Linked DNA regions of Drosophila melanogaster. The protein of the gene in region 1 interacts with the protein of each later gene in a pairwise test. Each region holds a gene or a part of one and is shown on either strand. Other genes may lie near its edges.

The links. Proteins that work in one complex are often made in the same cells at the same time.
Region 2: the proteins of Stam (region 1) and sxc interact in a two-hybrid assay, tested with the Drosophila melanogaster proteins (one large-scale study listed by BioGRID).
Region 3: the proteins of Stam (region 1) and FANCI interact in a two-hybrid assay, tested with the Drosophila melanogaster proteins (one large-scale study listed by BioGRID).

The regions. Positions count from the first base shown.
Region 1 is NT_033779.5:10,856,876-10,864,772, forward strand, and holds Stam (signal transducing adaptor molecule), read left to right. Parts: upstream 1-1,660; 5' UTR 1,661-1,959; coding exon 1,960-2,002; intron 2,003-2,494; coding exon 2,495-2,772; intron 2,773-2,831; coding exon 2,832-4,035; intron 4,036-4,101; coding exon 4,102-4,646; 3' UTR 4,647-5,131; downstream 5,132-7,897. Other genes in the region: aurB (aurora B), read right to left, coding at 1-135, 196-913, 969-1,102.
Region 2 is NT_033778.4:5,304,147-5,310,943, forward strand, and holds the start of sxc (super sex combs), read left to right. Parts: upstream 1-3,141; 5' UTR 3,142-3,352; coding exon 3,353-3,506; intron 3,507-6,797.
Region 3 is NT_033778.4:8,933,420-8,943,093, reverse strand, and holds FANCI (fanconi anemia complementation group I), read left to right. Parts: upstream 1-3,304; 5' UTR 3,305-3,340; coding exon 3,341-3,412; intron 3,413-3,470; coding exon 3,471-3,925; intron 3,926-3,985; coding exon 3,986-4,221; intron 4,222-4,280; coding exon 4,281-4,390; intron 4,391-4,445; coding exon 4,446-4,896; intron 4,897-4,952; coding exon 4,953-5,041; intron 5,042-5,099; coding exon 5,100-5,212; intron 5,213-5,274; coding exon 5,275-5,540; intron 5,541-5,592; coding exon 5,593-5,936; intron 5,937-5,990; coding exon 5,991-6,331; intron 6,332-6,392; coding exon 6,393-6,724; intron 6,725-6,781; coding exon 6,782-7,553; intron 7,554-7,612; coding exon 7,613-8,477; 3' UTR 8,478-8,518; downstream 8,519-9,674. Other genes in the region: CG13748 (uncharacterized protein), read right to left, coding at 2,284-2,625.

The DNA of each region.
Region 1 (7,897 bases):
ATTTCTGGCCGTGTTCTCCTTGCCGCGCTCCCGTTTCTGCAGCTGCAGCTCCCTTTCGGCCATTCCCGCCTTCACCCAATAATGGGTCATCACATCCACCAAGGTGATGCGGCCCTTGCTTTCCTTGCGAAGCAGCTGCAAAGATGAAATCCCTGTTCAATAAATGGATCTCAAAGGAAACATCTTCCAACTCACCCCGCCAATCAATTCCTTGCAGCCCTTGGACAAATGCGATGGGTAGGAGATCTCCATGCGCCGGATCTTGCTGTAGGTGCTCTCCGTGCTGTTCGACTCGAAGGGCGGACAGCCGACGACGAACTCGTAGCACAGAATGCCCAGGCACCACTGGTCCACCGAGTCGTCGTAGGAGTTCCCATCCACCATCTCCGGCGGCAGATAGTCCAGGGTGCCGCACAGAGTCCTGCGCTTGTTGTTCGGCGTGTGCGCCGACCAACCAAAGTCGGCCAGCTTAAGGTCGTCCGTGCTGGTTAGCAGAATGTTCTCCGGCTTCAGATCCCGATGGATCACGTTGTTCAGGTGACAGTAGTTGAGGGCATTCGCCACTTGGTAGGTGTACTTCGCAGACCGCGGTTCATCGAATCGATGATTGGGTGCGCCACGCAGGTGCTTGAACAGCTCGCCCTCGGACGCAATTTCCAGGGCCAGATAGATGCGGCTCTCGTCGTGGAACCAAGTGAGCAGGCGCAGGATGTGCGGGTGCTTCAGTCGCGACTGGATCTCGATCTCGCGTAGAACCTGACGCTGCACGCAGCCCTTGCGCAGCTCCTCTTTGAACATCACCTTCATGGCCACCAGATAGTGCGAGTGGCGCTCCCGCGCCAAGTAGACACGTCCAAATTTGCCGCGTCCCAAGTGGGCGCCCATCTCAAAGTCCCGGGGACTCCAATCGTATCTGGAGGGAGCAGATTAAGTACGGATTGATACATTAGCTTATTGCTTGTACGTACGGCTGTCCGTATGCGTCGTGGGACATCATCTTGAGGCACATATTCTTGATCGGCTCCTGGTGCTCCTCGGGCACCTTGGCCAGCAGGTGCGGCAGGTGGTTGCGGTTGGCGTGCTTCGCGCGGGAAAGCGTCATGGCGCTGACTTGTTTATAATATTATGATTTTTAAGTAAATTAATTATTTTAAGTTGTATTTTCTATAAGCGTCCCTTTTGTTTGCGCGTTTTTTTCGAATGCTGAGATTAGTGTGACCGCATGCTAGAATCGAGTTATTCTGTGACTCTCAGTGAAGCAGTTAAGTCACTGTATTTTTAAATTCGGTCAACGTATAATAAAATATTTTCATGTTTCTTAAATAAAAATTAATCTTCTAGTTTTGTTCTTATATTGTGCATAGTTATTATAATATACGCTTCTCACCCGTAGGAGAATAGTTTGAGTGAAGGGCATAGAAAACTGTTTAATTATTATAAACCATAGCTACCAGTGCTCAAATCATATCAGATGTTTAATAGATTTATATTATTAGTTGTCTAAATTTATTTAAATATACAATATCAATAATATTTATATGTATATATAAATAAAAATGTTTTGCATAATATAAGTCTCGAATACCTCTAACTAACCATTGAAAATGAGCTGCAAAAAATCCTTTGGATTTCCCGACTATTCGCAATCTGGCCACACTCGCCATTAGTCATTTTTTACACAATAAACGTAAATTAAGCGAATTTGCAAGCGCTATTCGGAAGTTTTTAGGCTAATCGAAAAGATATAAGCAGCCCAAAAGAGATTTGGAAAAAAGCGAAAAGGTCTACGCAGGAGGAAGTACACCAAAAGCGTGCTTTCAGTCGCCGTGACGCACCGAAAATCGATTGGAGAGGAAAAACAATAGGGAAAACAGACAAAGATCAACTGATTTGGATTTATTGACCCCAGGGCAGCGCAGATTATTGGCAGATAGCCGAGCGAGCGGTTTGGTCATAAAGATGGGAATCTTTGGGCAGTCGTCGCCATTCGACGCCGACGTGGGTGAGTTACCACTTATCGTTAAGCTGTTGTGTTGGCCGATTGGACAAGCCGATGTTCCAATTGGACTGCACAACGGTCCAATATGCGTTTCATAGTTTTCTATTCTTATCTGGGGTCTAAAAACCCGCACACCACACCATTTTCCCCTGTTTTCCCTATGAACCCGATCCCCCGATTGAGCAGACAACAAAGAAAGTCATGTGAGATGCTGTGCGCAGCTCTGCGTCGTTCGTTGAACTTCTTATTGGAGTTGTTAGATGGCAGTCGCTGACCTTGAGTGACGTAGCACCCGCAGCCCCTCACACCCCCTCCGTTTACGCAGCCAACCCCCTCGCCATCCCTTAATGCAATTTAGTTAGTTTCCGATTGTATTGATTTTCTTTAGCTGCAATCAGTTTTCGAAGAAGCTTATCTTTGTTTTGCTGTGACTCAGAATATAAATTTCTATTTGACTGATAAGCTAATGCGGTTCATGCCTTTCTTGTTTTATAGAAAAGGCCACCAGCGAAACTAATACCAACGACAACTGGTCTCTGATTTTGGATGTATGCGACAAGGTAACGACCAATCCCCGCCTGGCCAAGGATTGCCTGAAGGCGGTGATGCGCCGCATGGGCCACACCGATCCTCATGTGGTGATGCAGGCGATTACGCTTTTGGACGCCCTGTCCAACAACTGCGGAAAACCGCTCCATTTGGAGGTGGCTTCACGGGATTTCGAGACGGAGTTCCGCCGCCTGTTGGCCAAAGCACAGCCAAAGGTTTCACTGGTGAGTACAAACAGTTTTAACTCACTTATTTCATTTCTAATTCCAATTATGATTCACAGAAAATGCGCCAAGTGCTGAAGAACTGGGCTGAAAACGACTATAAGAACGATCGAGAGCTCGACTTGATACCCGCACTCTATGCCAAGCTGCGCCAAGAGGGATATGATTTCAAGAATCTTGGCGATAAGACTAGCAAGACTGTTGCCGAAAAGGCCGCCGCCCTGCCCAAAGATCCGAATGTGGTCAGCAGCCAGCAGGAAGAGGATGACATCGCCAAGGCCATCGAATTGTCGCTGAAGGAGAACAAGGGCAGTCCAAAGACTGGGAGTGTAGCAAGTACCGGCACCGCCAGTGCCTATCCCTCATTGTATCCATCTTTCGCTGGAACCGGCTCGAGTGCACCGAGCGCCGAAGCCAGTTCCGCACCAGCGCCAGAGCCGAGAAAGGTTCGAGCTCTGTACGATTTCGAAGCTGCCGAGGAAAACGAATTGACCTTCTTTGCCGGCGAGATCATTCATGTGCTGGATGATAGTGATCCAAACTGGTGGAAGGGATACAATCAACGCGGCGAGGGTCTCTTCCCCTCGAACTTTGTCACTGCCGATCTGTCCGTCGATCCCGAGCGGCTGGACATCAATCAGCAGCATAAGTCGGCCGCCGCAGCCGGGCAACGAGAGTTGGATTCCGCTGCGGCACTGCAGCAAAAGACTGAAGCGGCAGCAGCTGCCGCCGCAGCTCAGCCTGTGGAGATCGACGAGTCAAAGATCGACCGGCTGCTGCATTTGCTGCACGAGGCGAATCCCGAAGATCCCTCGCAGGACAGCGACGAAATGCTGCAGCTGGAGCAGGAGGTCCATCAGATGGGACCGCTGATCGATGCCGAGCTGGAACGCGTCGACCGCAAGCACGCTCAACTGACGCAGTTGTCCAGCGACCTCGTCGACGCCATTAATCTGTACCATACCTTGATGCGGGATGACCGTGCTGCGGCTGGACATTTTGCCGCCGCTGCTGGCGGCTTTATGCCTGGACTTGCTGGTTTCCCGGGTGCCGCTCTGTACGGTGCTCCAGGTTATCCTGCAGCGGGTGGATTCCCACCGGCCCAAAATTATCCGGGCATGCACTCGATGCCATATGGCCCCGTACCAAATCCTCCCACTTCTGCTCCATCTCAGGCACCTGGAGCTCCTGGTGGCTATCTGGGTCAACCGCAGGGGCAGGTGCCACTGCCCTATCAGAACGGACATGCCGCACAGATGAACTGTTAGTACAAAGGATTAAAATACTTATTATATTTACCTATAATAACATTTTCAATCGTCTTTCCAGCGCTGCCAGCCCATTTGACTCAACCCACTGGCACTGCACCCATGCCCCAGCCAATCTACACTCAGCCGACTCCCGTGACCACCCAACAGCAGCAGCAGCCACTTCCACAGCACCCTCAACAGCCGCCACAGCAGCAAGGCCAGCAGCCCCCACAGCATCCCCAGAACAGCTACCACATCGACCCCCAGTCACAGTACGCCCAAGTTCCGCCCGCAGTCACACAAATCCAGCAGCCGCAGCAGCCACCGGCTCCGCACGCTTACATGTCGCCGCAGCATCAGCAGGCACCGCCACCACAGGGATACCAGCCAGGACCAAATCTTTATGGACCGAACGGATCGCCGGCCGTCGTCAACCCGCAGAGCTACATGTCCCCACAGCAGCAGCAGCAACAACACCCACCACCACACGATCAGTTTAGTCAGCTGCATCAGCAGATGGCCGCCATGTCCATGGCTGGCGGACCGCCAGTTGGGGCGCCCGGCTATCACATGCAGAACGATGCTGTCAAGAACAACATTCCTATCTACCAGCAGCAGCGGTAAGACCGCTGCACTAAAACAGAGACCTTCACTTGGTTCGCTTTGAATTGCCCGAGCAACTTTAAGCTTTGTCTTCATTCTGACAAAAGGATGTCATCGAGTATGTTAGTTTTGGCCAACTTGCCGAGAAACGGAAGTTGTCAAATCTCTGCTATGTACATTTTGAGAAGAGCAATTGTCAGTGAACCAAATATGTCGACTATCCTTTAAAATAACGAAAGAAGCCAAATTAATATCAAGTATACCCTTACGAGTTTTCGTTTTTTGTGTTTATATTTGGTCCAACGAAATGATATATTTTTCTGGAAGTAAGGCAATACCAGTCGAAAAAGATATATATACCATATAAATAATCTGTATTCAACAGCACGTATAACTTTGTATTTAGTGCAGGGGAGATAACTATTATGTATTATGTTTATTGTACGGATTATGATAAATCTAACGAAACGAATCACATTCATTAAAATCATAAAAATATACTAAGTAAACACAATGTCTTTGAAAATTGCAAGTCAAAAGCTTACGGCTACCCTTCTCAAATATTTTCAGCACTAGCAATCGATGTGGAATAATTTTCAAGAAAATTTTGGAAATCAGATGAAGTTTTTAGAAATTTTTTTAGTGATAAAGAAAGCAGATTATTTGTTTATTTCTCACTTGAATTGTTTGTTTATTTTTATGATATTTATTTAAATTTTCTTATCGATGCTATAAAACATGAAGGTAAAATTCTTTATGTAGGCTTCAGAAAGAGTAATCTGCATTGCTTTATAAACTGAAACAATTCAGCACGAGTTTTGGATTCGCACCCCTTTTAAACTTAACATGCTTAGAGCTCCATTCAACTGCGCTCATCCCCTTTTCGGAGAATACCTCCCTCCGCTCGTGTTAGTGCGCTTTTCCGATGAGATTCCAATATATTCAGACAAGCTTTGCCACATGCCACTGTCTCGCAATCCGGCAAACATGCAACAATTTAGCAAAATTCCATCCGGCATTCGGTGGCACAAATATCCTGTGAAATAAACTGTCAAAACGGGGCAGACAGACAGTATCTCAGCCTGGTAAATAGAAAATGCCAATGAATGCGGAGTGTCACCTGGAGTGAAAGAACGACGAGCCAGGAGACGGGCGAGAGCAGGCTATGCAAATATTTGCTGATTGTTGATTTCTATGGGCTGGCAAGTGGGTGGTTGTGGGTGGTGTTGTCTAGCTGCAAAAATGTCAACAAATGCATAGGTATTTTTTAAATTAATTGATTTTGCTGGCCTTGCACGCTTACATCGAATGGGCTGGGAAACGGGAAAATTTGGGCGAACTGGCTGGGGTCGTGGGAAAATCCTGCCCAGCCGAACACCTGAACCTTGTTCGTCCTGTGCCCTTTTTTTTTTTTTTTTTTATTATTTGACTTACGGTAGGAAAATTAAAATCTTCTAAAGATACCACCTACCGTCCGTAGGTGGCATGCACGATTCATAAGCCCTATTGGAATTATGCCTACGTACTAAAACAAAAACCTCCGCGTGCTCTACAGTCCTTGCTCGCTCACCGGGACTGCCAGTCAAGGTATGACTTCGGTGAGCAGGATGTGAGGCCAGGTCGCACTCCCTTCCTTCAGTGTAGTCCATGGGGGCTCCTCCTTCCACCCTTTAGTCGCCTTTTACGACGAGCCGGGGACGCTGAGGATGAATTCTTCGCCCGCCGTCACCCAGGACACCAGTTTGGGCTTAGACATCCACTCTGTTGGCCATCTCGTCTGATCGGACACGCTTCATCATATTAATGATAATGCTGTGTCCCCGCTCCCAAGCCCCCCTGTTCGCCATCATAGCCGCGAACAAGCCACTAGGGCTGAACGGGGAACCTGACAGCGTCTTTAGCTGCTCTCTCTCCGCCGTGAACCTGGAGCAGTGCATTAGCACATGTTCTGCTGTTTCTTCACCGTCGACGCAGAACAAGCATTGGGCTGACTCTACGTGACGGAACCGGAGTAGATAGGCCCGGAAGCAGCCATGGTCCGTGAGGAACTGGGTTAGGTGGTAGTCCAAGCATTTGTGTTGGCACTCTGCCCAAACCGTCATCTCTGGGATGAGCTGATAGGTCCACCTCCCCCGTCGCGACGTTTGCCATCTACTCTGCCATTCACCTAATAGCCACTCGTGTGCCTCTTGCCTGGAAGCGCCACTCCGCATTAGGCTGAGAGCCTTGATCTCCAGATCAATCGGCGGCAGGCCTGCCAGCGCTAGCGCCGCGTCTTCGGATATGGTCCTGAAACCTCTAATGAGCCTCAGAGACATTGACCGTAGCACCGAACGAGCTCCTTTCAGGTATGAGACCCTGCCAGTGGCATTGCTCCAGACTGGTGCAGCGTATAGTAGCGAAGCCTTTGCTACTGACACCAGCAGTTTCCTGGCCGGGTGTCTTGGGCCTCCGACGTTGGGCATAAGCCTCGCCAACGAAGAGGCTGTGATTGCTGCCTTCTTGCTGGCGTGGCTCGCGTGGTCCTTGAACGATAGTCTGCGATCTATCATTACCCCCAGGTACTTTAGGGACTCTTGAGAGGTCACCTGTGTACCCTTGACGGAGACCAGCATGTTCTCCACCTTTTTCCTGCTGCTTAGTAGGACTGCTTCGGTCTTGTGAGCCGCTATTGCTAGCCCGGCTTTCTCGAGCCAGCGGATGGCAGCACCGATCGTAGAGTTGCATTTGTCTTCCAACCCTGCGATTGTTTTCGAGACAGCTGTGATTGCCACATCGTCAGCAAAACAATGCAGCTCTACTCCTACGGGCCTGTTGATGCCCAAGATCCCATCGTACATAATGTTCCATAGGATTGGTCCAAGTACCGATCCTTGGGGAACACCTGCCGAAACTCGGTATCTTTTTGGGCCATCTTCCGTATCGTACCATAGGATCGTACCATTCCGTATCGTCCTGTGCCCTTGGGCCCGTGCAATTGTGTGCTGTTGTGTTGCCTTTGTGGAGCAGTTTCCGTTCGGTTCGTTGTCAACTTTGATGGCATTTTGCTCAGTTTCGTTCTCGATTTGATTATTCCGCCGGGTGATTTGCATTTTGTGCCGCTGCATCTGTATCCTTCAAGTCGGATGGCATTAATCAGAAACAACTGAACTGGCTCAAGGACGACCCTTCAACCCACCCACCGCCTCTCGTGCTTCCCGCTTCCTTCTTTATCATTATTTTTTTTTTTTTTTGTAACACTTGGCAATAAAATCAAATGATGCGGGCATCGT
Region 2 (6,797 bases), on another chromosome or scaffold:
TTTGCTTAAGGAGGACAACATTCCACCGTTGAGATGTCATTTTGAGCGCATCCAGGAAGTCATATCCGGCGGGGACAGCGTCATCAGAGTAGCTATCAAGAGAGCCGTCGTCCAACCAGTTGCCCCATCGATTTCGATATAGTTGGAACCGTACCTCTAACAACGAGCAGTCATGCGCTTATATTGTATGTATGTGTGACACCTCCTGCAGCGCTCTTCGGGTAACTATTTTCGCCCTTATTTCTACTCTGGCTAAAAATGTTGGGTTATCTATTCAGCTATTCGAAATCGCTACAGAAGCCTCGTCTGTTCATTTCTTTAAAATAGCTAATAAAAAGGCTTCTTAGCTCAACATACATGATACAAAATTTTCAACAAATTTAGTATGCCGACTTCCCCAACTATCATATACCCGTTACTCAGCTAGTTGAAATTGCGGCAGTTTTGGGCGGCTTAAGGCGTTAGAGTGGGTGTCTCAAAAATTTTTTGGCAGATAGATAGAACTTTACAAGACTAAAAATGTTATGAAAATATATCCAAAAATTATTCAAAAATGTGGGCGTGGCACTTTTGCTCGGTTTTAGGGCGTTCGAGTGGGAGTGGAAAATAGTGTTTTGGCAAATCGATAGAAATTTACAAGACTAATAAAATTATAACAAAATATCCAACAAATTTTCAGTCTTGGGCGGTTTTAAAGCCTTAGAGTCGGCATGACAAATCAATAGAAATTTACAAGACTAACAAAATTATAAAAAAATATCTAAAATTTTGAAAAATTGTGCGAGTGGCAGTTTTAGGGCTTTAGAGTGTGCGAGGCAACAATTTTTTTTTGCAAATCGATAGAAATTTACAATATTAATAATAATGTAAAAAAAATCAACACGTGTTTTTAAAAGTGTGTGTGCGCCTTTGTCCCTAGAATCTGTATGCTGAATCTTAACCTAGCTTTCAATCTAGCTTTCATAGTTCCTGAGATCTCGACGTTCATACGGACTCGGCTATTGGTCCCTGATCAAGAATATAAATACTTCATATGGTCGGAAACGCTCCCTTCTGTCTGTTATTTTTTAAAGAATATTTACGAATATAACAAATATTCAAGAATAACGAATTTTTTAATATTAACATTAGCAGTATAATTTTAAATAATTCAAATACTGTAAGCATATATAATTTCCAAATGAAAAATTCTTAAGCCTCAATGCATTTTCATATATAATTATACAACTGCTTATACTTACCTGCGATTTTCGAGAACGGTGCAACGTCGTGGTCGGATGGGACTTTAACGTGTGGGCCGCTCTAGTGTGGTCGCCACACACAACTCCCAAGGGCAAATTAAATCTCGAAACATTCGCTAGGCTGGACGTTCAACAGTGCCGTTGCAGGATTAATTATCGACCTCACGTTCATAAGCAGTCCATTCGCTCGCTTCTCCTGTTGGGGTATCAAGGAGGTGGTCACAGTCAGTGACCACGAGGCGATCCAGGTCGAAATAGGCACAAAGGCAATCGAGAGCAGGGCTAACACGCAGTAACCTAAGGCCTACCGACAGAACACCATGAGTCTAGAAGAGTCCGCCGGCATTCTCCATTACCTGACGGTCAACGAGGCGAACTTGTGATCGCAGCAGCGGATAAAATAGTAGCGAGGGTGGAGGAGGCCTGCGGCCAAAGCATGCGAATGAGGAAAACGAACCGAAGGCACCACACCCTGGTTTTCTGGTGGAGCGAGGATATTGCCTTGCAGCGCATCATCAGCCTACGCGCAACGAGACTCGTACAAAGAGCTCGTGGCACCACGCGTCTGGAAGCATGCCATACGGAATACAAGGTCACAAAGAATTCACCGAAGAAAACGATTAGAGCCAGCAATCGTGAATGCTTTCTGAAAGTCTGCGTCGCAGCAGAAAGCGATCCATCTGCTCTGGAAAACATCTTTAACGTTCTGTTCCTGTTCGGTCTGCCATTCCCAATTCCCAGATCGGGCCAAGCGGAGACGAATTGCGGCCTGTCACGGAGCCCGAGATCCTAGCGGCTGAGAGGAGTCTTAAAACCAAAACGGTACCACACCCGATCGCATCCCAAGCAAACTACGAGAAACAGTGCTATGTTTGTTACCGCCTAAATTTGAAGGTTTTTTTTTTGTTTTACCAATTATTTTTAAAATATCCATGAGATCTGTTACTAATTTTTTTATTTCGATTGAAAATCATTGTAGTATTTAAGTTTAGTGAGTAAAATAATGAGAAAGTGTCAGAAAATAGAGAAAAGCTGGGACAAACACGAAATGTGCTTATGATGCTATTATTGTTACCGCAACTGTAATAAAGAGAGTTTCTTGACAGTCTTAAAAGCGTGTAAACTTGGAATTTGTTGTTTATTTTCTTGTATATTTAATATTTTTAATTTGTTTTTTGATTTATAAGTAAAATAAATATTGTTTGATTATATTTTATAAAAAAAATTGCGTTTAATTAAGCAAAAAACCCTTTATTTTTAGCTTTAAAGTCAAAAATTCAACTTATTTTACAGTGTGTAAACAGTTTCTTGACAAACTGTATGTGATATGTGATTCTAGAGACATAGGCGCCGCGCAAGTTTGTTAACCCATGTTGCCATGTGCAATCCAACGCACACATACCGGACAAAACTGCCACGTCTACACTTATGTAAAATGTTTTATTATTCTTTCATATTTTTATTTTCTTTTAAATTTCTATGAATTTGCCAGAAAACATTTTGCCATGACCACTCTAACGCTAACAATTTCAAAATGTTTTGAAATTTTTTGATTTTTGTATACAATTTCTATTAATTCGCGGCCACGGCCCTTCTTACACCTTCCAAACCGGTCAAGACCGAACTTTTGATCAATTTGAAACAATTTTGTTCTTATTTTATATCCCAGTATTTAACGATATCCCAGAAAAATGATGAATGAATTTCGTGTTCCCATTTTCACGAGCTGACTAACGGTTATCTGATTGACTCGACAATACCATTCTCTCTTCATTTGAAATTATATGTGGTATATCATTGGTATAACATTGATATTATGTTAATATGGTTTTTGCCGCCGTAAGAATAGGGTATAAGCTATTAAGTTGCTGTTCACAGTGTTCAATATTTGAGTATGTAAATATTTGATTTTCTCTTGTAAATCGTATTAACAGCTGAGTGGATGTTTGAAAATAATTAAATCAGGTTGCTTTTATAACTTAATGCAATTCATATTGATATTTTACTGATATTCTCTTTCTTAAAGGTTTAATCATGTAAACAACATCACAGTGTCTTTACTTAAGGGTGGCTTATTGATTTTAGACACATGTTATCAACGTTGGATTTTAATGCATGTTGAACAAACACGAATAAATATGCAGTCTCAAGGACAGAGCCATCAACTGCCGTCCGCGGCCCATATATTATTAGATCAAAATCCGAATTCAACAGGCAGTAACCTAGTCGTAAAACAAAATGACATTCAATCTCTTTCATCAGTCGGTAAGAAATAACCATACATTTATATATGTATGTACATACGTTTGTAATTGATTTTTTTAAAGAATACATCTAGTTAAATACTTTATACATTAATGCAAATGAATAAGTTTGACAGCGAAGACAACCACAATTAAATTAAGAAAAATCAATAAATCAAACAATTGGTTATGCCTGGCCCGAGATAGATATGTGTCTAATGTGTCTCATATTAACAACATATTAAGAGATGCATATGGTGTACGCATCTAAAAATTCACACAACATAAAAATCAGTGTTCAGTGTCTGAGCTTATTTCGTGTAGTTAAATTAATTTTTATGTTGGCATTGCTTCGATGAAAGATACCAGAAAAATGTAAACGCAATATTTTTGAAAGAATTATTGACATGGTTAAAAAACAGACGATTTCCGTATTCTAAATGTGCATCCCTCATTAAAGCCGTATCTTGTAAGGGGTATCTGGTAGTCGAGAAACTCGTCTATAATGTTATCTCTCACTCCATCTAAAATTAAATTTTTTATTGTAATTTTTTTTTTTTCTGGCTTAAAGCTTACTTTGCACTTAAATTTTTTTTCGTTCTGCTGTAGCTTGCACGTTTTTCCTTTTTTAAATTTTTGACAACATATATTACATATATGTACATATATTATTTGGTATTCATTGAAAAGTTCTTCGGTGCTTTTCGGCCTTCATTCAATACAGTATTTTCTTTTAGGGAGAAGCTTCCGCTTCTCCGCGAAGTTGGATCAATCTCGGATATTAAAATTAAAAAATTGTTAGGTTTAAAATGGCCATTTATTGAATATTAACATACTGCACAAAATAAGCTGCGGCATAAAAAACACCTTTTTGTTTTCTAAAACGATTAGAAAATTGCTTTTTTTTTATATAACAAATTTAAGAATCCGGTGCTGAAATACCTTATTGGTTTGAAACCTCTAAACTGTACGAACAAACTACAGCAGACAACTTCGGATGTGTCCTTTGAAATTTCAAGGGTTCGTTACCCTGCATATCCGTTGGTTAATCTGCACCAATTGAAGTGCTTAACACTAGTCTAATTTGTTTAAACTGTATTATTTCTAGAATATCATTGACTGCGTAGTGAGAGATCTTGAAAACTCATTGACTCGGCCCATTTTAGGGTAGTCCTGAATCTGGATGTGTATGATCTATACCTGTATTTCAATCTGCATACATATGCATGTGTCTGCAGTTCTCAGTGTGTGTCTCAATCATCTTTCCTTGCTGTACCTGAGGAATTATCTCTTGAGCATAGTATCTAGTTGCCTTCTCTAAAGTATGAAGCTTATACAGATTACTTCCTCTGATAATTGCACGAAATAATATTCAGTGTGAAGAAGGAAGTTTAAAAATAAGTTTTGTTTTCATTTTATTATTTGCCTTGCTATGTTTTATTGATTTAAAAATCTGTTGCGGAACTCGACCAAAGGGTACGGCCAAAGACACCAGAATAACAAGATGCGTAACGCCATTCGATGTGGCTCTAGAGCACTATGGGGCATTTGGCCTGTTTTTTTTACAATAATGTGTTTTTCACAAGTATGCAAATTTGAAGTATTTTAGTATTAATACATTGGAAATACGTTAAACTGTTATGATACAGCCCGCAAAAGTTAATTTTACAATGCACCGTTATAATAACAGCTGTTAAAGTCGGCTGTTGCGAGCATATATCACGTGGCTGCTTTGCGCGCAAAATTTAGCTTAACTTTCAAAGTGTTAAAATTTAAAAAGAAGAAGAAGGAGAGTATAATTTGAAATAGATAATCAATCTTTAGGTTTTTATTATGTGTTGTTATTAATATATTGTTTATTGTGTGCGCCTATTTCTAACAATTTGTACATTTAGCAAGTGGTGTCAACATGTAGTTGTTTGAAAAAATTTTAAACTTTGAATAGAGCTACAACAATTTGTTCAAATTTGTTCAGTAAGTGTTTATATCCATGTTGTAGTGTGTTCAATTTCTAACTCATATCAGGTAGTCTCTATGTGCGTTTTTTGCGGTTTCTTGAGAAATTTCATTTTTTAGGGAGCAATATCTCGATTTCCAATGCTGCCCTGCTGGAAGTGTGGCGCAAGCAAAAGGTTGTTCGTCAAAAGGAAAATTCTATTTGCACTTTTATCAGTGGGCATATTTCTGATAGCAAGCTAGACTTTAATGAACGATTAACGAATAATATTAATAACGAATGATTTCAGTCAATCTTTTGCGAAATTGGAGAAAATGCAATCGAAAAATAAATGAATTTTTGAAAGTTTTTCAAATTGGTTAGAAGAACACCTAGTCCTGAAGGTAAAGGAGAAAAATAAAAAGGAAAGGAAATTAGCTGGACTCCCGAAAACGTCATATTATTTAAAAAATTTGAGTGGCCGAAGACAGCAAGCAGATGAACTCGTAAGGGCGCAGAATCACAACGAATGTCTTTTGGTTCAAGCTGTACGGAAGTGCTGCCTGCGGGATCTTGCAGCCATACTTAAAATTCTTTTGTTGAACCCAGCCAAAGCAAAAACTATTAGTAGCTTCGCAGATGTCTTTTACAGAGCAATGGATACTACGGATCCCATAATATCATCAATAAATTTAAAGAGGCGAAAACATAAGCGACTATCTCTTCCACCAGAAGTCATTCAAATGTTAGCTTGCGAATTTGAACCTGATAAAAATTCTTCAGACTCTGCCGATTGTGAAGAGGAAGACGGTTATGAATTATACAATATTGAAATTAAAAATAAACTTTAAAAATATATTATTAAAAAAAATTATAATATAATATATTAAAAAAAAAAAAAATTGGGGCGGAGTTGGGGCACGGCCACTTTTTCAAAATATTCCTGGAGGCATGTGTAACGCATAAAAAAAAATTCATCCAAATATCTCCAATAGTTTAGGAGGTATTAATTTTTGTAAAAAAAAACAGGCCAAATGCCCCATAGTGTAGAGGTGGCTCCAGGCTCTCTCGAATTTTAGTTCGAGAGCAAAAGAGCTCTTTTCTACGCATACAGTGATAGCAGACAACTGTATGTGTGCACACGTATGCTCATGCATTGTAAATTTGACAAAATATGCCCTTCACCTTAGAAGTTCATAGATATTATCTATCTATATTATAGATCTATATTATTTTTATATATATATTATTTTTGATCTATATATCTATATTATTTTTGATCAATTGGCATCATGCGGAAAATTCTTGTTTTGCTTGCCTTAACGTCATTATTATTTAAATATAGCTTAGAAATAGTTATAGCCGAATCATAATGTC
Region 3 (9,674 bases), on another chromosome or scaffold:
TGGTTTGTTGGGCAAATTTCAGCGCAAATTAGTTAAACCAACTTAATAAGTAATAACAATGATTGGGTTTAACGCGATACAGTTGTTAAAGGTCGGAAATGAGCAACTAGTGCACACTCTTAACTGGAAACATTCTTCAAAATGGCCGCCAATTTAGTAAGCTGCTTTATACAAAAGGCAAAGCTTGAAATGGTATTAGGATTTCATGAATGCGTAAATGCATATAATTGCGCTTTTATCAAAAGTAATACAAAATAATAATATGTATAAGGACTACCTATCTTATAGGTTAAGATAAATGTAAAAGTAACGGCTGTACATGTACTCCATTCATAGCTTAACAGCCTAAAAATAGCTTTCTACTTCAAATTTGTTTGCCATTCCATTGAATTTTAAAAATTTTATTTCCTTATATGACTATTTTATTGCAATAACGTGGTGTTATTATTGACCAATGTTATTTTAATCCAATAACAATGAAAAAGTTTTCAGTTTCTTATATATTTCAACAAAATTATGCTTTTTAATTTATATATGTATATATATATTAAATATGCTGTATTTTAGATACGGCTTAAGGAAACCCCATTCCCATTGTAACTTATTTCTCGGGAACGGCGAATGGGCATAAGCTAACCACCGATGGCTATTACTTTGTTGGACCACTGTCCAGGCCACTGCTCTGCAGGAGGGGATCGACCACTCCAATGGAGCTGGAGCGGCAGCCAGTTCATTTGTCGCCGCTGGGGATGGATGATGTTGCAACGTAGCGGCTGGGCCCGCATTTTCGCTTTTTGTTTTGGCAAGCGGCTTCAGGTCGTTGATCCACCGATTTTCTATTTATACCGACGAATGCAGGCCCGCACAATAATCTTGGAAATTTGCCCAGTCCCAGTTTCAGTTCCAGATCGCAGATTCCAGGTCGAGACTCGAAGTGAGTCCAAGTCGTGAGTTCCAAGCAGGCACGTTGGCCGAATTGGAGATCTTGTGGTCTTTCTCTGACTGTTTTGGCTGGCCGACTGGCCTGTTGCCAATCGACTTAGCATAAATTCGCACCTCTCGGCTGTTTATGTTTACCTGCTTTGACTTTGGCTCGGATTTGGTATTGGAATCGGTTTCGCACCGGTTTGTTTGTTTGCTCCGCCAGATCCGCCGAATTCCGAGTGACTCCGTCACTCCGCCGCCGCATCCGTGCGTATTTCAGCAGCTGACGCACTGGTTTGCCTAGACCCAACTACATACGTGTACGTGGTCCACTCATCCATCCGTGCCGTGCCTGACCTTTGCAGCTGCCGATCTTGTTTGCTATGGTTATGTCCGTCTACATCTGGGCGATCGATCGATTGATTGCCCATCGCATGAATGGGCCAGTTTCTCATTGGGAGCTCGTCTGTGCTTTGGACCATTTCCAAGTGAAATCTACATATGAAAGTTAGCCTGCTGCTACTCGCCTCCGGCAATTGCGCCCAGCGATATCTCGCACTTTTGAGGCCGTTGGTAATTGTTTTCGCTACTCTTGGCTCGAACGGCCCAAACAGACAATATGCTTATAATGTTTATAAATATTCAAAAAAATAAACCAGTTGTCTATCGCTGAATGGAATTTTGCAGGCTCCAATCGATTGAAAGTCAACAAACAAACATTCGTAGTTGCTAGAATTGTCTAGAAATTTGGATAAGATAGCATTGTTTTGTTTTTACCAAGAATAGTTGCTATTTAAGGGTTCTTTTATTAAATTTGTTATGTGATTACTAAAAAATGCACTAAAATAGTATAGTATGCATAGTATAGTATAGGTATTAACTTTTTAAGCATCTTCCAGATTCCAAAATAGTATACTATACATAGTATACTATAGGTATTAATTTTTTAAGCATCTTCCAGATTCTAGGAAATATTTGTGAGCTTCAGATGATCAGTAGACCTCTCCCACATCAGTGAACACCACATCGAGTTGGTCGTTATAAAAAACTCTTTATTCCATACAAGTATTTTATCACAATAACTTAAGCTCTAGATGGGTGGTGAGTGCTGGACGGACACACCCAGGAAAGTACAAAGTAGATGGATTCAATGACAGAAACTACATAAATATTAGGTAGAAGAAGGGACGGTTAGTCGCATGGATTGTGATGTTTGTGTGTGAGTTTGGGTGTGGAGAATGCTGCCTTTGGTTCGCTGGATTGCAGAGCTCGAGGGGAAGCAGCCGCCTTTGGCAACACATCGGTCGCGGAGGACCGATCGCTATCCGGATCGGAATGCGTATGCGGATGCGGAGAGCCCTACATGCCCTCGCAGGTGGACATGCAGTCCTTGTAGCTGGCGAAGTTGTTCTCGTTGCCGTCACAGCCGCCGAACTTGAACTCCACGCACTTCTTCTGCTCCGGATCGTAGCGCCAACGGGGGATCAGGGCGCGGCAGACGCCCTTGCGTGCCGGCATGAGGCAGAACTGCTCCGGATGGGTGTTGCGCCCGGTATTGGCCACATCGTCCAGCGAGATGGCGTCAAAGAAGTCGCTCACGTCGTCGTAGAGGTCCATGGGAAACGCCTCGCTCCATCTGATCCCCGCCAGCAGGATCAGCACCACTGCCACTCCAACGTACTCTTTCAGTTGTCCGCGCATTTTGTGTACTTGATTTAGCTTCGTATTTAATTCACTTGATCACTTGGCGATTGTCTTCACGCAACTGTTGGCGCTGCAGTCCAGCTTTTGGATTTATATGGTGCCACTTTGTAGTCCGAAGCGGGCGAAGGGAAGCGAATACTAGACAATACTCCCATCTAAGAGCCAGCAGAGCTTTCCGTTCGACTCCAACGCTCTTTGGTTACTCTTTCGAAGAGTCCGCTTTTGTACTGAAAATCCAAGTGTAGATATAACTACTTTTGTTTATTTACTGTTGTGAGCATTATCATCGTAAAACATACAACCATATTTTTTGTTTTTGTTATTTTATGGAAAAACAACCTGTTTGATTTTCTATATGGAGTAGACAAATAAATTTTTTCTTAAACTACAAATTTAAAGCTATTTTCCATTGGGTTTCATTGAAATAGTTTTTATATTTCAATTAGAAATATAGAATGCCTATTTCTTAGTTTTGAAATTGAAAATTAAATGTTTTATGGAAAAGATTACTGTTATCACTATTTATGGATTTTTTTAAAATTCCCGCCAATTGCATGCTATCGATATCAGTGGGTGGTGCAATCGGTAATCATATCAGGCATTTACCATTCCTAATTTGTGGTAGTTGGTGAAATCTGGCGCGTCTTTGTTTAAATCGTAAATTATTACATAAATTTAGTTGGGTATGGCACGCGAATCAATTCTAACGTGGATGCGGAGTCTGGGTGAGAAGGCGCGCTTTGATGAGCTGGAACTGCTCATTCAAAACACTCCAATAGAAAAGGTTGGACCCATAAGGCGGAAGGCAATATAAATCTTAATTGATAAACATTGCTTGATAGTTAAAGGAAACCCTTAAATCCACAATGACACGCAGCGAGGGCATAACGTATTGGAACTACCTTCTCCGTGGCTTCAATCCGGAGAGCAAGGATGCGCTAGCCAAGCGATTCGAATGTGTCCGCAGCTTCATGGACGGACTGAGCAGCACGGAACTGAGCTACAAACAGACTTTCGATCTGATCACGCGCCTGTCGCAGGACCTGGCCACCTTTCCGTCCGAGCAGCTGGCCTGGATCGTGGAGCACTGCATGGACGGGATCCGACAAGGAGACGCCAAGTGCGTCGGCTGGAAGGATTTGCTGCCGGACGCGCTGTCGCTGCTTTTGGCCAGACCGCGGTTTCTTCTGAACGGCATATCCATAGATGGAATGGAGTTCAGGGACACTACCGTAAGGAGCATTGCCACCATGCAATGGCCAGCCTCAATCCTCACGCCAATTGCCGACATGTTCAAGTGGGTGACCACCCTTAAATTAACCACAATTTAACCACACAACTCATACAATCCCCCTAGGACCATGAATCTTAGCAGTGGCGAAATTGTGACAGTACTCAACAAATTCTCTGGCGCCCTGCAGGAGCTATCTCCCATGGAACTCCCAGCGCTGTGCTTCCAGCTCTTTTCGATGTGCAGCACTGCTTCCCAGTTGATCATTCCGTTGCTGGCCCTGGAGAAGTATTTCCATCGCAACTACTACAAGCGGCTCTTCTCAGACATGTGTAGCAACTCAACGAACTTGGATAGCATTGGTGAGCCTGCACCATATAGAAGACTATATTCCTAGAAATTGACAGCATCTGATCTTTAGACTTGTTCTCGGACAAGGAACTAAGGGAGGCCGAAGAGACTATCCTGCATCACTTGAACTACTGTACTATGTACAAACTTACTGAAAAACATTTGGCCATAATGCTGAGAGTAAGCAGGTCCCAAATCAATCGATCGCTTAGTAACTTAACTAACCATGTTTCAGAACTTTCTGCACATGCCCGATGTGATCCTAACTCCGTTTATGCTTAGCGCCATTATCTCGATGACCAGCATTAATCGCGATCCAGAGTCCGCTAGAATATCTCATTCCATTTTGCTACCTTTTTTGCGCAATGTGATCAAAAACAACGAGGAAGAGCGAACGTTAGCCGACTACTCCGTGTGGTATCGGGATACATTGCAACGCAAGCAAGTCGATTTGCAGCAGGTCCTCACGGTGCTCATTGATCAGAACAAAGACGGCAAGGATGTGATAACTCCTGGGCTGGTTCATCTCGTATTTTACTTGCTGAAATCGCAATCGCCCAAGATGCACACATTGGCCATCACATTTCTAACCAAGTTCATTCGCAAGCGATTCATTTTTGGACAAGGCATCATAAAGCTTATTTCAGAGTGGATGATAGTATACCAGGAACAAAATCAGTTCTCGGGTAGGTCAAGCAAAATGTTCTTAATAATTCTATGCAACAAGAATACATATTTGCAGAATGCCTCACACTTCTAAGTGTGGCTGATACGTATACGGTCTCCGAGTGCATGAAACCAATTCAATCTGTTTTGGAGCACATGCAATGGGCAAGTTAGTCCAATGGCATAATTGTTCTTTAAGCTAACTCCGTTGTAAATATTTTAGCTGTCTGGTGAGCAGTCCATGCGCATGATGAACTTTATTCTACCTTTGCTAAAGATCTCTAATCGCGTCCGTGATGCGCTAATTGATGTACTTTGCAAAGCAATGAGCTCGAGGTGGGTCTAATTACCTGTTCGTGGTACTGTATTTACTTTTTATTCTGCACTTTATATTTTAGTGGAATTCAAAAACGGCGAATGGCGATTTATGGGTTCTGCATGATCCTCAAACAACTAAACAACAGCAATGCTGTGCGCCAGACCTCCAGCGCCACCAGTTTCTGCACTCAACACAGTATCTCTGGCTACTCCATAATGACCCAGAACACACTGGGAAGTCGTAGTAATCCTCAAAGAAATTTCGACATGCTCACGTTGGAAATTATTGGAATGTTGCGAAACTGCTTGCAACAACAATTCGATATACGGTGCTCCCTGTATGAAAGTGAGTCGAATGAAATCAAATAATACAACTTCTAATAATGCATTTCAAATAGATCTTCAGAGAGCAGTGGAGCTCAATGCTAAACTAGTGCCACATGTGCTGCAAGTCATTGACTGGCACTTTCGCAGCTTCTTCGACACCCCCTCTGCAGAGGATGCTGGTGACGATCTAGACACAGTATTCCGCATTCGCTACGATCAATTGGTTAGCTCTAGCGATGATCAACACATGGAGATTCAGCTTAAAGACAACCTGGGCAAGTTGATTCAGTTCGTGGCCAACTGCTTGGCTGTTTTCGATCGAGCTCCATCGGGCTACGACACTCGTGAGATGAATCGGCTCATGAGTTTCTGTGTGGATCGTATGGTGGCAAACAGATTACCCCTGGAAGAGATAGTGAGCAAGATTATTACTTTTAAATTTCAATAAACTAATGCCAACTGATTTCAGACGCCGCCAGCCACACATCTAAAATGTGCCCTCGTTCTGCAGCAACTGAATATCATTGAAGGAATTATTTGCCACTTATTGCTCAAATCCAAGCCACAAAACAATGCTGTTTGTCAAATATTGCCTCTTTTTAATCAGCATTGTAAGCTTTTGGAGAGTCTTAAGGCATTATCGGATGCATCCAAGAAAGCCCATAAACAGTTGAAGCAAACCGCCAAGAATAATAGCACATCAACGTGCAATTTGACACTGAACGGCGTCCCGGTGAAGACCATGTGTACACAGCCTGATAATATTTGGGACTTGGCCATATTGGATAAGCTGCTCCATCTACTTCTTGAGTTAGTAACCTTGACGTTAATCCTTTCTACTTCTTAAAACTGTTTTCAATTTTCCATTTAGTGACGTCGTAGCCTTTGCTGCTCCAGAAAAAACAGTGCTCTTGCGCTCCAACGAGCCCCTCGTCCGGTATGTTTTATCCGTAACGGCCAGCAGAGTGGAGTCTATACGCCTGGAGCCCGATTATAAGCAGTTGGCCTACAGTAAACGCACCTTTAAGCAATTGACGGACATTACAAAGGTCATTTACGAGCGCTGCATTCAACGCTTGCCGGAGCTGTGGAAAAATTTCGACATGCAGAGCGCCGCCCTAGCCACTCAGTGTTTTTCTGAATGCCTAAAAACAGCTCATGAAACGTACTCAAAGAAGTTCGAAGATTTTGTCAAGTCATTTGGTAAGTTAAGTCATGCTAAGTATATGAGGATAATCTAAACTATGGTAAAACTTTTAGATTTGGCATCTATAAAGGGAAGCAGAAACAAGGAAGTGGTTTACACAATTCAGGATGTTTTAGACGACTTTATGACGGAGTACGGCACTGATGATTCGATTTGTAAAAATGAGTTCGTTTCCAAATTGCCTGTTTACCTCTTGGAGTCGCTTGAAATTCTTTTGGATCACATTGACTACCAGGATCGTGCTGCCACCGAATCGTACACTTGGCTGCTAAATTTTTGCAGCAAAAACGAGATTCTCAACAGTGAAATGGGCCTGGTGCACAGAATGCTATTCGTTCAGCGTCAAAAGACCCACTTAGGTCCCTTCTTCGACAGTGTTGCTCGGCAATTGGGTCACGTACTGGGCGTACAAAATGAAGACGCTCCCTCAGAATCTGTGGAGCTAACTCTAAAGTCCATAAGTACAGTGACCATCGAGAGTTGCCTACAGCATCTGTATGCTGCCATCCAAAAGCAGCTGAACGATGTGGACTACTTTGTGACGAAAGCCAACAATCTAAACTACAAATGCCAAGTGGTTCCCGAAATTGACCAGATATATTGGCGGGGCAACCTGGATTCCATGGATCGTTCCATTTGCACACAAATAATCCACATAAGTCGCACTTTGCTGGTGCTCACAAACGTTTGTATTCCTCTAGGTTCTTTGATGGACGGTCTTATGAAGTTGTTGATTCAGCACTACACTTGTTTGAAAAGCCTGACCAAGCACTACATATCGAGCTACACATCAGATACGTCCATTGAGAACATTAAAAGCACCAAGTGAGTCCATCTAGTCGTAGATTTAATGGATATCTAATCTGCATTTTATTCTCCAACAGATTTGAACTTCTGCTACGTGCAGTTGGTAAACAACTTCCGGCGAATATTTACGAGCTCATCACGTACATAGAAGCTAATACCCTGGATGAGGAAGCGCAGCAGCATACAAAAAAGCGGAAGGTCCAGGCAGAACGTGCTAAAGTTCTGAGAGAGACTCGGCTAATTCCCAAGGTTATAATGGTTATCGAGGACTTCAATAAGCACATTATTCTCCTGTCCAAAAAGACCAAAAGCAAGAATAGACTTACGGACTACCTCCACTTGGGAACCATGCGCGACTTCGATATCAAGTCGACGGATTTGAGGGCAGCTATAGAGCGTAGTATCTCGGATGGCCGCAACATTTCTACCGAAGACAGTAATGCTGAGGATCGGGATGAGGATGAGGATGAAAATGAGAATGTAGAGGAAGACGATGACGCACAGTCCACCACGTATCCAGAGGACTTGGAGGAGAAGGAAGATGAATGCTTAGTCATAGAGAAGAAGGAAGAAAGGCGCAGGAGGCGTGCACCTAGCAGTGAAGCAGAGGATCCACAACCCAAACGAAAAAGAGGCCGCAAAGCTGCAGAACAGCTGGAAGCTGAAGATGAAGAGCAAGTCGAGGAAGAGCAGCCTGAAACGACTTTAAAATTAAGGCGAAACAAAAAAGTGGAGCCAAAAACCAAAAGGAGTGTGGCCATTAAAAAACCCGAGGAGCAGCCATCCCATGAGAGTCGTACCAGTAAAAGGTCAAAAGGTCCAGCGGATAAGCAAACAGCGGAGCCAGCCAAAGTGGATCTTTGCGTTCCCGAAGTGCCCGCTGAGAAGAAGAAACCACAACCTAGTCGTAGACTGGGAATACCTCGTACATTAAGGAAATGATGTTTTGTTAAAAAAAAGTATATTAAAAAGTATATGTATTTAAATCATGCCAGTCCATTGCTTATTCAAAAATGGTTGCGATTATCGCAATTACTTAATTTTCATTATGTGCTGTATTGCTGTTTTCTAGAATTTCCACATGTTCAAAAAGAAAAATTGTTCAATGTTTTTGTGAATCTTGTTCATTTAATATCATTGGAATTTTAGCTACCTAATCTCTGTAAATTAAAAGGCTGCTTCCCATTATTTATTAGTACTGCAAATAAAAAATATATATAAGTATATTCATAAGCGAAACTTGATAAATTAAACAATGTACTCACTTGCAGCGTGTGCCCATGTCCAGAAACAATAACACTTCCGTCATTGCCCACCGAGACAGTTCGTCCATCCGGACGCTTCCACACCGACACACTATCATCCCAAATTCCTGCTTGATCGTCACGAGCCACGAAGTTTTCTCCCTGGACGCGGCCATCTTTGATGCTGCGGCTGTCCCTTTCAACAATCAGTCCTTCAAAGCCCTTTGCCAAGGTCGCTCCACAGGAAACTGGGGACTACGCCTGCCCCTTTGGACAAAAAATCCTCCGGAACCCACATCCACAGTGCGACCAGGACGCTCCACATGGAACTGAGGACTACGTCTGCTCCTTTGGACGACAAATCCTCCAGAACCAACATCCACAGTGCGACCACTTCGCTCCACATGAAACTGGGGATTGCGAAGTCCCGCAGGCTGCACAGTGGAGTAGGCGGGCTGTACAGCAGCTAGACCTGGTCCTCTAAGCGTATGTGTTCCTTAAAATAGTATCCATAATAAGATTTATGCACTGCCTCGAACCATGATTCTTAGCCACCTGGTCCTCCAGCGTCTTTTTTGTGCACATACGTGATCCCCTGCTCATCCGTATAGACGTGATCTGCTGGCGACGATGCGTGATGGAACTGACCACCTACTCCTGGCACCTTGTATACGCCATCGTTCTGCCCCCGAATGTAGACTTGATTGCCGGGTGTTCCGAAAACGTGAGGCCCATCATGTCCGTCGTATGTCCGCTGGAGATCGGCAGCTGAGGGAGCAATGGAATCGTCGATTAGTCTCCGTTTGGGCGAGACCATGGTAAAGGGATTTTTCACCAACGCACAAAACAGCGCAAGCGATCGGCACGAGAAGTCCAAGCAAATGCATTGTCATCT